Styela clava: one gene and its partner. The protein of the gene in region 1 interacts with the protein of each later gene in a pairwise test. Links are inferred from orthologs where the notes say so. Each region holds a gene or a part of one and is shown on either strand. Other genes may lie near its edges.

The links. The genes of interacting proteins can lie anywhere in the genome.
Region 2: the proteins of DNA replication complex GINS protein SLD5-like (region 1) and DNA replication complex GINS protein PSF2-like interact in a two-hybrid assay, tested with the Drosophila melanogaster proteins (2 studies listed by BioGRID). The link is inferred for Styela clava from reciprocal best matches to the Drosophila melanogaster genes Sld5 and Psf2.

The regions. Positions count from the first base shown.
Region 1 is NC_135258.1:9,240,195-9,247,727, forward strand, and holds the start of DNA replication complex GINS protein SLD5-like, read right to left. Parts: upstream 3,058-7,533; 5' UTR 2,966-3,057; coding exon 2,864-2,965; intron 2,715-2,863; coding exon 2,589-2,714; intron 1,613-2,588; coding exon 1,440-1,612; intron 770-1,439; coding exon 681-769; intron 182-680; coding exon 1-181.
Region 2 is NC_135252.1:9,323,419-9,330,673, reverse strand, and holds DNA replication complex GINS protein PSF2-like, read left to right. Parts: upstream 1-4,377; 5' UTR 4,378-4,382; coding exon 4,383-4,519; intron 4,520-4,559; exon of another isoform or gene 4,560-4,837; intron 4,838-5,247; exon of another isoform or gene 5,248-5,341; coding exon of another isoform or gene 5,342-5,394; intron 5,395-5,883; coding exon 5,884-6,448; 3' UTR 6,449-6,744; downstream 6,745-7,255. Other genes in the region: mitogen-activated protein kinase kinase kinase 1-like, read right to left, coding at 1-209, 748-889, 1,942-2,088; guanylate kinase-like, read right to left, coding at 7,242-7,255. UniProt on the Drosophila melanogaster protein: The GINS complex plays an essential role in the initiation of DNA replication.

The sequences.
Region 1 (7,533 bases):
AATATCACAGCTCCATTTTGTACCAGTTCAGCAATAGGTTTATATCTGATTAAAAATTGTGATCCTTCATCTAAATCTACTCTATCTGATGTCTGATCATCTGCGTCTTCCTCTACAATAACACCATCTTCTTTTCGAATCGCTTTTAGGAATACATAATGGTCGAGGTTTGGTGCGTGAACTGTAACGAAATAGAAATTTTTTAATAAGGGTATTTGTACACCTCAAGCTCTGTAGCAGACTATGCACAAGTACATTTTATTCTGCCACAGAGAAAATGTTAGCATGTAAAATTTCACTTTTCACTCCATAAATGCTTATATGGTTAAATTTGGTGTTACTAAATTTGGAAGATGAAGAATCGTTAATTAGGCTGTAAAAATTGTATATATAATTCATTCTACTACATATTCCCAGACAAGCTACCAAATCGAACAATAGCTTGTGAGTCCCATTGAAAAAATATACCAACTAGAATCATCGTCCCATACACAATGTGTCCAGTAATGAGATATACTGTCAGGTATGGTCATACCCTCATAACACAAGTTAAAAACCACTCATTGACCACAGAAATTGTAAATCTCTCTTACACAATATCCACACACACACTTGGTTAAAATTTTCTGGCTATCACAATTGAACTGCGACAAAAATGTAGCTACAAACAGTGTTCTCACCTGTTGTTGAAAGCTCTACATTCTGCATTACTCTTGGCATATGATTGAGCGCAACTGTTTTCATATGCGTTTCTATATTTGCAGAAAGCCTGAACAAAACAAAAGCTGCAGGTAGCAACATCAACAATACACCTTACGTATATATATAATTGGGTTGGAGGACATAATAAACTTTAATGTCCAATTGAAGTAACTCGGGTACAGTCAAGTAGAGAAGTTTAATGAGTCCAAAAAACGTGGATTGACACACTAGGTCGACAATTTATCCAACCTGGAGATAAATTTGATTGTTTTTGGAAAGAAATTTTACTTTGAAATTGATGACTTTTTTAGCATTTTTGGAATATCTAGTCATACAATCATTCAAAATATTGAAAAATCCAGATTGCAAGTTACGCATATCATTTGCTAATGATCCAACAACATACAATAGCAGAGTTCTTAAGTGTAGTGAGGAAGGAATGTTTCAAAAAAAAATGCAATGCTCAATACCTTGCCAGGTTCCTCAGCTCTTTTATACTAAATGGTGTGGAATATACACACGTAATTCATGTATGACAAACATTCATAAAAATAAAGATGCTTATAATAACACGAAATGGCATTACCTCGTCAAGTGGAGATTTACCAATGAAGCACTCTGTCTTACCCCCGAGCATAGGTAAAATAAAATTGATGGAAAATGGATATCAAGGACTCCACGATCCCAACTTAAAATCAGGTCAACAGTGATTTATAATTCAGAATTAAACGACTCACTCTTTTGCAAAAGCAAATTCTTCTGGAGATAATCTGGATGGTTCATCTTCAGATCTTGTTTTTTCTCTTTCAAGAAATACTGGTCCATGTATCTCAATCTTCTTGAGTCTACACCTCAGATAACTACTCAGAACATAACGTATACGATCCAGTTCCATTCTGTGAATACTAACCTAAAATATTAACAATAATAAATGACAAATGAAAGAAATAGGCCCATTAACATATTACAAACATTCATTAACCCTTTCCGTGCGGTGGGCACGTATACGTACCCATGACAAAACTCGCTAGATTGCGGCGGGTACGTTGATGTACTCCACTGTTTTATTTAGCAATCGGTCGCAAACTGTTGGTCTAGTTTTTCCGGATTTTAGTTTATTGATAAGTCTTCGAGATTAACATAGGCGACGGTAAATCTCGCTTTCGTTTACCATGGAAATTTTATTTGCGGCGGAACGAGGGAGTGTTTTTGAAATTTATGCAAATTTGGGTGTTTGGGTGTAATAGAAGACATATTATCCCTTCCATCTACCAAAGTATTTTGAGTTAGATAACGAAATTGCTACAGCAATATTATGCTATTGTTTGCCAACCAAGAAGCGGTAACAGTAGAGGATTTAGCGAATATTTCTATTTTTTATCACGGTTTGAAGTTTCAACACCCAAGAAAAAAATGCCTTTTTTCTATCTGGTTTGTGACTCAGACCACCCCTTTTAAAAAAAATTTTAATCGCCAATTGCAAGCTCTTTAAATAAGCTTTCCAACGAGCCGTCAGTGAGCAGCAGAGGATCAATACTTTTTCGTTAGTCGATCGATTAGTTGTTGGGGTACAAATGCATAAAGTCGGCGTAGCAAATACGATTATTTAATAAAAAATAAAAATCGCATGGAAAGGGTTAACTACTGTTGTAATGAAGTTGATTCAAATTCATTCAAAACCCTAATGCACAATAAGCCAATGTCATCCAAAAATTATCTGTCTACAATCCTATAATAAAATTCCCTTGTGTATATTGAAATAATAATTTAAAAAAAAAAATTAAAAAAAAATACATCTGACTTTATCAAATGCACATATTTACTTCTGAATTCTGAATACATCAATATATTATTTCCTGAATTGACATGTCGATAAAACAGCATACCTTTATATCCCCCTTCTTAGCTTGTTTCAAATTTCCTTCCATTTCCGCAACAAGTTCCATCACGCATTCAACAATTTCAGATTTACATTCCAATAAATCCGGTGCAAGTTTTTCATTCTGCCATGCCTGCAAAAAATTGAAAATGCAAAAAACTAAAAAATTATCTTACAGTCGTTTGAATATGAGATGTCATTTGTAATTTACATTTTGTAGCAACTGATTAAACATGCGTTAATAGAAATGTTTATATGACAGTATGACCTTTACCAATTTACCTGTTCCAACTTTTTTAATACTTCTGCGGCTGTCAATTGTTCTTCCTCAGCATCACTTTGATTAGGAGCCAATATATCACTGATATTCAGATCATCGGCCATATTTTATTATAGCAATAACTAGGCTACTACCGGTATCTAAACATACAATACTCATAGACTCAAGATATGCACATCTTAAACTCGTACTCGTATTAATACTGTAATAATACACCAGTTATGTGGGAGAGATTGTCGAACACTCACGTCGCGAGGTCCCTTAACAGCTGACCTTTTACTGTTTTACCAATATTTACCAATAGCATAAGCTATTATTTACTGAGATGACATTTAATCCAGCAACCTCAAGACACTAGTGAATTTTATTTTATTTTTTTGAACTAATCTGCAGAGCGAAACCTGTGATAGATAACCAAGCCGATTTCTCGCATTGGGGAATTCCCTTAGAATATTCGCGCGCTTCATCTTGCGGCGCCAAGTGTACATTTCTGGGATAGGATTGAATTTCCATACCATCCCGGTGGAGGAGGAAGGTCGATAATACGACTCAATCATATAGTAAACTATTGCCTCTTGTCCAGTCTATACCGTATGGGATTAGTTAGTCAGGTATTTGTTTCAGATGCATGTACTTGATAGTGGGGGATGTTGTAACGTAACCGACCAGCCGTCGTGTGAACCACCCTCAGTGAGAGGAGAGCTGCAACCCTATCGCACATAACTATCCCCGCATGGTATTGGAATCTGTGAAACTACCAGGGTGATCAGAATTGCGGTGGCGACCGTATTTCTAGATGGCGAATTCAATTTAAAGATGATGAAGATTACGGATATATACCGGTACTCGTGATCATTCCCTACCACTGTATACTGTTTCCCATCAAATTGTTTAAAATTTCACGGACGCTAACAAATAATGAAAGAAAAGTGTTTTCATCTCTTCTGCGCTCTTTCCCTCTCTTCTGCGCTGTTTCGCGTTCTTCTGCGCTCTACTGCGCGCTTCGCGCTCTATTCAGTGTTGTTTCGCTATTTTCTTACGTCGCCTAGACATGTAAGGTAAGGTAAAGGGTTTAATGGCGTCTTTGACAACTCGGTCTTTTACGCCAAATTTCAAAAGGAGTAGTCAGAATGATACAATAAAAACATGTTTACAACTCTCGTTTGGTGGATATAGCAAATTTAATAATTATTGGAATCAAATTAGGAACATTGAAAATACTAATAATTTCCCAGGGTACATTCATTTTTGCTGCTTCACGTCTTAATTCGCATCGTAAATTATTATACTTGGGACAATATAAAATAAAATGGGAAACAGTTTCATTTGTGTCACATCGACTACATTGCCCTGTGGGATGTAGCCCTATTTTAAATAAATGATAGTTAAGTCTGATATGTCCAGTTTGAAGACGAAAAAATATTATTTCTTCTTAATCATTTAATGGGCTATGTGAGGTCGAAAGTTTTTGTAATGGCTTGCAGTATCGTTTGCTTGATATGTTAAATTCCATTTCGCAAGACATGCTTGCTTGCACAATGTCTTAGCTTCTTTTAAAGACCGTTGAAGAACAGCATTAATGACAATTTTATTTGCTCCGTCTTTCGCCAGTCGATCCACTGCCTCATTACCGCTAATACCAATATGTGCTGGTATCCACAGAAACTTGATATCGGTCGTGTGACAAATAATAGTATAAAGTAGTTGTATTTTTGTTGATAAAAAATGTTTAACATTCCAAATATCCTGAATGCTTTCCAAGGCAGAAAGACAATCGCACAATATTAATACTTTTGAAGGCCTATTTTGCGATATCCATATCAAACTTCGATATATGGCATATAATTCCGTACAGTAGGAAGTAGATAATGGATCGAGGCGGAATTTATTCGAAAATTCGTATTCTGGAATAAAAAAAGCAGAACCACAGCGAGTTTCAGATTTTGAACCGTCAGTATAGATCTCCAGGTAACCTGGATATTCCATTTCAATATACTCCAAACATTGTAACACAAAAACAGTAGGATTGTTGTATGTAACAGACATAGTTGATAAAACTGTATCCACTTCAGGCGGAGGCATATTCCAGGGTGGAATGGGAAAAAATTTAGTGTTGTTGACAACTATGTTAGAAAAAATTCGAGAGGTCGAGAGCATATTAAAGGTTACAAAAGAATCAGAGTCTGGATAGTACTCATGCCAAGACTGCTTAATGAGTGATTCATTAGGATGATCCTTGTGAGAAAGGAGCAAGCATTTGTATGCAAGGCAACAGTTAAGATGTTGTATATGGAGCGGCATTTCGTTACAAGACTCTTGAAGTGATATTATTGGAGTGCTCTTCATAGAGCCACCGCAAATACGTAGACACGTATTTTGTATTTTTTGCAACTTCTGTAAAATATATGGCGAAGTAAAATGGTATGCTTCAATGCCATACATCAAAATTGATCTGATGAGTGCCCTATATAGTGTTAAAAGGGGTGATTCCTGATAACGAATGAAAAAGCATCATCATTTTGCGGTCTCCTCCACCCTCTTTGTTTCTTTATTATAATCACACTTTTTTCTTGCCACGTCAAAAATTTTCTGCGCTCAGGCGGTCTTTTCAAAGTTGACGCTGTCAGGTGAGCATTGATTTCATGTTTGTGAATTTTTAGGATCAATCGTTTATGTGCATACTTTTTCATAATACGCTAATTTTTTCATAATCCAACGCTTGTATCTTCAGCCATTTTTCATAGCTGTACTAATGCAATTAAACTAAGCTTTGGCCTACAGTTATTGATCCAAATGTCTACAAAGTGGAATTGAGATTACAAGTTCTGAAATTGGTGAGATAATCTAAATCAGCAATGATTATTAGAGATAATTTCATTCTTTCAGTTAGTTAGCCCATAGCGTAATACTAAATGATACCTAGTGTGTAATTATTGAATCAAAGACGACGACGTAAACAAATGGAGGCGATCGAGATCAATGAAATGTCCCAAGTTAGAACAAGTAAGAAACCTGAAATCGTATTCAAATTTACACTTTGGATATATTCCATATATACGAATTGCCCTCATCTTACTATTAGCTTATGTTAGCTTTTATTCAACCTATATAGTGCATCTTAACCATGTTACATATTTCAGTGTTTATACAAACTGACTGAACGTAAACATGCTGCGAATGTTGACATCTGAAACTGCTTGAGCGGAACAAAAGCTACGGTTAAATAAATATTCATTAAATTATGGATTACAGTTATAACAAGGCCATAATATAGCACTAGATTGAATTGAGAGTATACTTGGGTTGAATCAAAGACCCCTGGGAAGATATGCCTGTGCAATGATGTTTGGACCATTTCATAAATGAGATCTACATTCTACATAATTGATGAATTAAAAACTCAACAGAGATGCGGTTGTGTTGGGATGTTCCGGATATAGTACAGGTGATATTATTTGCCCAATTTTTTTTTTAAATTACTTCTCTTGTCACTTCTTTTGTTGTTTATATCCAAACATTTTTTTGTCATTTTAAGAATTTACGTGGGCCAAAGTAGCGTTCTCTTTTTCCATATCTTTCAGTTATACTAATGCAGATAAACCTAGGTTTAAGCTACAATTGTTGATTCTGTAACGTAAAAGTTGTGTTGCTGCTATGAATGGTCTTCTATCTGCGAACTTATCCGATAGTCCCGTCGACGACTTTATATTAGACTTCTAGAATCTGGACTCCGATATAAAGCAATATTTAATCAGAAGGTTCTATTGGGAATTCTCGAATGGGATAGTTGCGGGTTGCCCACTATATTTCCTACCTTCTCTCTCTTTTTTTTCTTCTTTTCTGTCTGTGCTATTTTGGGTTGAGTTGGGTTATTTAAAGGCTTTTGGAATTACTCTGTTTTGTGAATAAATTTTCTATCTTTATTTATTACTTTCTCGGAAAGAAGGTTTATTTTCAACCGATCAGAAACTAGTTCGTTTCGTTTTTGATAGGTAAAATTTTGGGAACATAGTATTAACATAGTATTAAAGCGATGATTGTTTCCAAATTCCTGACTCGAAGACTCATGGAAGTTTAGTTGAAGAGAGGCGATCAAGGATTAATAAGGTAACTGTTAATTTATTTACATTTATGCCCAACCGCATGGCAATATAGTATGGTGAAGAAGAAATGGTGAAATAAAAGTGATAAAAACACGCTGTTGTACATCCGTTAACTGCTGTCCTTGCCTGGTCTGTTTCTCTCGTATCGCCGAATCGGCATAACTTTGCAAGATACTTTGATGTCAAATAACATCACATGTGATTGGCAGATGTTTCACAGGCAAATACATAAAACATATTACCAGGTATATATATAGTTAACAAAAGGCAAGCAGACAGATTGCCTGGAACGTCTAAGCCGCTAACGTTTAAGCCGCGAACCTTTTTAGAATTTGTCAAGTTTCGCGCCCCACCTCAAAAATAACTTGCTGTATAAATAACGGATAGTTAAACGAAAGTATACTTTATTCAAAAATACATGTTGAAAATACGTAAAAGGAAAGTAAATATCTAAAATAAGGCAGGCGAGATCAATATAACAAATATTTATATTTTTAATTAGCTAAACGCAATCTAAAAAATTGTCTACGCCCCTTGTGCGCGATCGCCACTGCTCTTTACGATCAGCA
Region 2 (7,255 bases), on another chromosome or scaffold:
TCTCACTCTGTATGTCATAGCCCCACGATGGATAGGCCGTCTAATGTGTTGTTTTTTCAATTTCTCTCTGATATCGGATTCCTCAATGTGCTGTTCTAACCGCAATGTGGGAGGAACAGAAGCGTTTTCATCTTGATCTTTTTCTGCAGCCTTGGCATCATTATTTGATTCTGCCACACTTGTTCCAGTATTGTCTGATGAGTTATGCTCTACAAAATAATATAAATTGCAAAAGTGGACTTTTTATAATTTTTTGGTGCCGACAATATTAACAATTTTATTATTAATAATTGTTGACAGTGCATATTTTTGGGAGCCTACATTATTAAAATAAATTCAATACAACATGGCAAAATAAGATGTTAGTGCTCTTTCAGCATCCTAGACATTATAATAGTAGATCAACTGAAGTGTTAAATAAATGCTATGAAGAAAATTGGCGATTCGTGAGAATCTCAATGATATGGTCTACTATTTTATCAATGTTAAATGCTTCATTTGTGGTTGAAAATAAAGAAAATAATGCCTGATTGTTTACAGTATGATTTTATTACAGCTCTTGCTGCAAAACGGAACATGAAAATTGTTTTAGTTAATCATGGTGTGGAAATTGTGTCTAGTAGATGCCTGTCTCGCACTTTATTGAATAATATTTTTCAAATCAGAGAGAGTTGTTTACATGGTTCTTCAATAGAGTCAAATGACAGGTAGGCCCAATAGGTTGATAAACACAATAAATCAACGCACCCTGGCGTCTAGAGTTCCCAGATCTCATTTCTTTACCAATCACGCTGTTCAATAAATTTCTTGCTGATGGAGGAGCAATATGTCTCGGTGGGTGATGTTTCTTCTCTGGACTGCTGGAACTTTGTACTGGAATGCCAGTTTTCTAAATAAATAATAAAACTTAGAAAACTGAATCAATTAACACAAGAATTAAGGAATATTTCCAATAAGGTTTACAAAAAAAAAAAAAAAATTTAAAGGTCTAAAGTAGACAGACAAATATGGTTTATTAGATATCCATATTCATATCTTCAGCCGTAATTTATAAGAATTATACTACCAGTGATTATCCCTGGGTTTTGGTCCACTAAAAATAAGATTGAAATGACAAGATAAACAATAAAATGGATGTCAATCTCAAAAGATATATATTATGTTCAAATAAATTTGCTCGCCTTTTCGAATCCTTTTAATACCGGAAAAGATTGATCAACTCAACACTAAATTGTTCAAATTAAATTTCTATTTATGGAAAAACTATTTATAAATAGAATCTTCTAATAAGTAGTATGTAATTCAGTTTATATTCAATATGAGCAAGAATTATATGAAAAAATCTCAAACACATAGATCATGGAGGTAAAGGGGTACACAGGTTTGTATCAGAGCCCCAAGTTGATTCTTACTAAGCACAATTTGGAGTGGTTCAAACAGAAAATAATTTTACCAAATTGCAAAATTACGATCTAGAACTATTTCCTCCTGGGATAAGAAAACCATATACTGGGAAGCATAATAGTTAAAAACAATGATATGTTTATCCCTTATTAAGTATATTTATATTCAAAATAATTACGGTACTTTATTTATAGTGAATGGATTATTTGTATCAAATTTTTCAAAAATCCAACCTATTTCATGAAGAAACAATTTTAGATACCAAATCAAATCACAATAAATTGTACGGCCATACGGACGTCATTAGCATGACAGAGACAGACAAGTGATAAGTCCATTCATAGTCAAGAACTAATCCTTCACTTCCAATGGTAATCCTCTTAGTAACACTAGATTTTCACCTACCCAATGTGAAGATTTTTTCCAATCTATAATGTAGTAGGCCTAATGGTTTCAGTGAGAGCTTTCTATGTGCAAACCTAGAAAATGGAAAATTAAAGTGCCATATTTGTGCAAAATACAAGCACATTTTCTCACCGGTCTAGCACTATGGTGAGGTTGACTGGTACGTCCTGCCTGTTTGCTTACAAATTGTTTCCTCATCATTTCCAATCTACTTCGTGGATGTCCATTTCCTGTGGTGTTTGATGTAAAATTGTTGTTTGCTGAGTCCGTAGTATCCATTATAGGAAGCAAGAGTAATTGGTAGAAATTTTTGAAATGTTAAAATTTATGTTACACCATCCTTCAAAAGTCTTTTAAGATTTATTAGGTCATTCTATCTACATACTTAATCACAGGCTGTAGATAGAAAATAAAAGTATAAAAAAAATTGAACTAATCCAGATTTTGATATTCTTTACTGAATATGAACTTTTGAACTCAGAATATAAGAGACATAAATGATATCAATATGACACCTCATATAGTATTCCAATTATGTTCAAGCAATAGTTGCCTTTTTCTGAATATGTTACTGTACGGCACAGTTCTCAAATTCCAAGAATATCCCCTACAGTAAAAGACATCAATTTTGACAGTGAGTGCGAAATCCTTCTTTAGGAGGCAGTCTGGGGTTTCATATTGGCACAAATCAGCAAACCGCAACATAAAATTGGATTCCTCTGATGAAATATTCTGATTTACAGAATGAAAATATTTTTACCAAAACTGAAAAGGCACGTCACAATTGATTTAAATTATCATCGAAACATGCATGGCGTGATCTGGTGCATCAGATGCACTCGCTTTCAAGACATATAGAGTATTTGTTTTCTTGAAATTGAAGAACTATTCCCTACTTTGCTTTGAATCATATATTTATTAACATATATTTAAAACTTTCCTAAATATTTCCAAAATCAATAATTTAATGTATCAAATATTACTTTAATGTATGAAATATTACAAAAAATTTCATTCGCGAGAGACAACTACGAATTCAAAAAGCACTACTCAACTGTACCAACTAAACTAGAAATTATAACTTAAAGTGAAATGAGTTCAAATAAATTAATTGGCTATTAATTGGCTACCTACATTATTAACATGCTCGCCTATCTAATTAACTTCCAAGAATCCAAGACACTCTACAAACTATAAGTGAGGTGTTTAAATGTTTTAATTAATGATTACTGCATAAATATACAGACAAGTGATACGGCAATACACAAAAGGGATAAAAGTGAATAATCTTGAAGACTATGTGAACAAAACCATGAAACAATATATCAGTAGAGCACAGTGCTCCTATTCCAAGATATCCCGACATTTGGTTCCATAAAACGAACACTGTATTTGTCTTTGAAACGATGGTGTTTGGTACGTCGCAAATTGCGTAGATGCTTCTCCTGATAATAATTTAAATCAATCGCGACGTGTGTCGGCCTTCATGTGACCAAATTTTGACAAAACCTATTGAATGCTGTGATAAAATTCTTTTTCTTCTGTAAATCAAATTATATTTTCCGAGGAATCCAAGAGTGTCATTTTTAAATGTTGCTTTCCTTGAGTTTATTGCGCAGTTGATTTGTAGCGATATGGTGTCCCAGACGTAAAGTAGTTTTCGCTATTATAATTGATGTCTCATATTGTGAGGGCTATTCTTGGAAATCGAAGAACTGTGCCATACTGTATATAGATATCATAAACCGTAGCAGTAGACTACCGTAGTATAGAAATATCACAAACTGACAAACAAAATAAACTAAGAGCTATATATCCAGATATCTGTATGTTAACTAACCCACAGCTACATTTAGACATGGGTCATACGTTCTTGATTTGTGATTGGTATGGTACGGTACTGTACCTGTAATGCTTGCTCAATTTAACAATAATCTCTCTAATCATAATACTGTTTTTTTAATTGGCTCACTCAATGAGTGATTTTAATGAATATGCAAAAAATAAATAAATGTACAAAATAAAATAAGTCCATACTCCATTTTGAGTTCATAATCCATTTGTTGAAAATGAGAAAATAAATAATAATTCTAATGATATAATACAATAAAAAAGAAAAAAAAAAAAACTTAGCAAATGTATTATAGTCTACAATGTATTGTACATCTAATTGCTTCACATAAATTCTGCAATTTAATATCAGGTGTTTTATTTTCAAATACTGAATCCAATAACTGAATAATACTGCATAATCCAAATTTTATATCGAACTATTGATAACAAAAGAATAATTGCAATAAAATCTACACTACTTATATAACTAATACTGTTATTGTCCTTTTCTCCAATCTCAATGTAAATTCGAGGGAAACCGTAAGGGACGCCCCCCCCCCCCTAAAAAAGCTGGCAGAGCGACAGGCAAACATCATCTGAGTGTGGCGAGAGCTGAATGGCCATGTTGTTGGGTTTTTTTCACCGAGCTTTGTTGTTTTCACAACAAAAATGTTGTTCTGTGCTGCTATCTGGCGGCGAAAAAAGTAAAATTTGTTTATTGTCAGTATGGATTGGAATGGATGAAAACAGTTCATACCTCAATGGTTGCGACGCGGGATTTTCAGGATATTTTACGAGTGGTTAGGGACAAACCTGTGCCGGTATCTCAGTATGTATGTATGGATGTTTATTCGTCTCGTAAAAGCAATATAAAAGAGTAAGTACTTATAAATACTGAAGACGGGATGTATGCACAAGACCATATTGGCCTAAAACACAGATGTGCGGCATACACCCCTTTGATTTATATAAATTATAATAGGGTAAATCAAATATGTACAATATGGTCCTTTATACAGGCAGTTGTGCGAGGAGGGTGGGTGGATGCGGTAACAGGGATATGGGTGGAGTGTACAAAACTGTTTGTACAAAGGAGTTTGTTAGACAAAACAACATCTATAAATAGTATCTGTCTGTCTTGGCCAGGGCGGGAGCAGGAATCAGGAAGGAGAGAAGTTTTACTTTGCAAACTATGGTACAATTTGATTTCACGAACTCTAACGTGTGATAAATACCGGTACAGAAATATAAAACAGTGGCATTGAAATCCTGTAAATTGTACCATTGGTCAAAAATCCTATACCTGTAGGCTATACGGAGATACCGTAAAATTTGATTTGATTGAGATCTGCCGAAATAGTTTACCGTACCGGTACTGGAGGATGCAGATATGCCTAGTTAAAAATCTTTTCATAAACTGCTGCATTGATCTGCTTACAGCTGTACAAAAAGCAGTTTCTACTTGAGGGCCTGGCCCCTGCAACGTCACACTGAAGAGAGAGATTTTTTAGTCATAATAATAAATCAAAAAAGAGCAGAAAACTATAAGCAAAATAATCCGAAGTACACTATACAGCTATATAGAGAATTTTACTAAACAGATACCAATATCAGATTAATAATTAATAGCATACCCATTAATTTAATAAAATTTTGAGGTCACCACAAGTATGAATTACTGACTCAATTTTATCCGAATATGAAATTGTGGCGTTGCTGTTTCTCTTGTTTTTCATTTACATCAAATGAAAAGTAAGTTTACTGTAACCCAACCAATATCATTATACATTAGTACCACAAACAGGTAATAACTACTCATGAGAACAATTTGCAATTAAAAACTATAATGTGATCAAAAGTGATCATCTCAAAAGCTGCAAATAGTATTTTTTAATAGCATACTGTGACGATGGATTGAGACAGCAGAATCATATAGCCAGCCACAGTTTCGCCTCTGTCTTTTTCATCTCTTGGAGTAGCAATCTATTTCATATATAATGGGGATGTAGGTAGCTGTAACTTATGTATGTGAATCACCTTATGAGTTATGCCACACACAATCATCTGCCAAAATCATCGAAAGTTTTATCCCCCATTATTTCGATTAAGTTTTATAATTGCATCTATTCTAATTATGTTTAGAATATTCTGATCAATTATCATTGTTAATTCTCCCCAATCTCTCATCTAAAATCAGCCATTCCCGGATGATTAACTCTCTTGATTATTGTAATTCAACAGCATCTTAATCATGGATCATGTGGATATTGAATTTCTTGCTGAAAGAGAACATGTATCAATCATTCCCAAGTTCAATTCTGACAAAATGTTTTTGATATCGGGTGAAGTTGGACCATTTAATGTCGGTGTTCCTACAGAAGTTCCAATTTGGTTGGCAATTAATTTGAAACAGAGAAATGAATGTCAGATTCAACGCCCTACTTGGATGGAACTTGCCACATTGGAAACAATGAAGGAAGATGAAAGCAATAGCGAACTCTTTACTCCTCTACCTAGTCCTTACTTCCAGGAAATTTCCCATATTTTACTAAATCAAGCAACTGATAATATACCCCACGCTGATGGTATAAGGACTATTATTAAAGACATTTTGGATATAAGAGTTGCTAAGTTAAGAAGCAGCATAGATAAATTTGTAAAACTGAAAGCTACTTATGCCAAGCTGGATAATTTGTCACAGATGGAAATAAATACAGTTAGGGCTTTTCTAACAACTGCACTAGATCATATGCGTAACCTTGACAAGACTGAGAAATTGACAGAACAGTATGCTTCTGTGAACTAATATAAGTTTCTCGACAGCCTTCTTGACATTTCTAGTCAACAGTGGATGGAGTTGGACAGAGAGTCTGGAATACGGAAAAATGGGCATTCACCCTCCTGGATAACATAAAAATTCATCTCATCTTTATGGGATGCATGTGCCTATGTCAGGGATCAATATATCGTTTTATGTTCTGCCAACGTTAACAATGACATACACATTTTCATGCAGAATTTTTGTATTGAACAGTATTACAAAAGATTGTCACAATGCACAATTTTTAAAACTGAAATAAAACACATGAAGCACCAACCAAATTCGCATACAGAGAGACTAGGGTCTTTAGATTCGAATTGATTAGTCTAATAATGGTTATGGTTTTGCATATAGTAATTCGATAAAAGGTGGAACTAGCCTTGTTGCATAAATGTGTTTTGGCCTCATGATTGAGGAGCAAGGAAACGACTAGTTTGGATAACTGAAAAAGAGGTTTTGGCTACTGCTAGACTTGTTATTATCAGCCTTATTTAACTTTTCAGCTCTTACAGTGATTACCAAAACATCATGATCGTGTACCAAGCTTTTCATGCGATACTAAAATGATAACAAAATTTACAGAAATCAGACAGCAGAAGATAAAAAATAAAATTCTCACACTCATGATAAACTATTGTGGCATGCAGTGCACGAGTAAAAGAAAATCTAAACTAAAACTTAAAACATATTTACTACATTTATGATAAATAATATGAAACTTGCTGCAGAGGCTTCATGAATAAAAAATAAACCAATTATTTCTATATAAACTTCGTCGTCAAGAAATAGAAC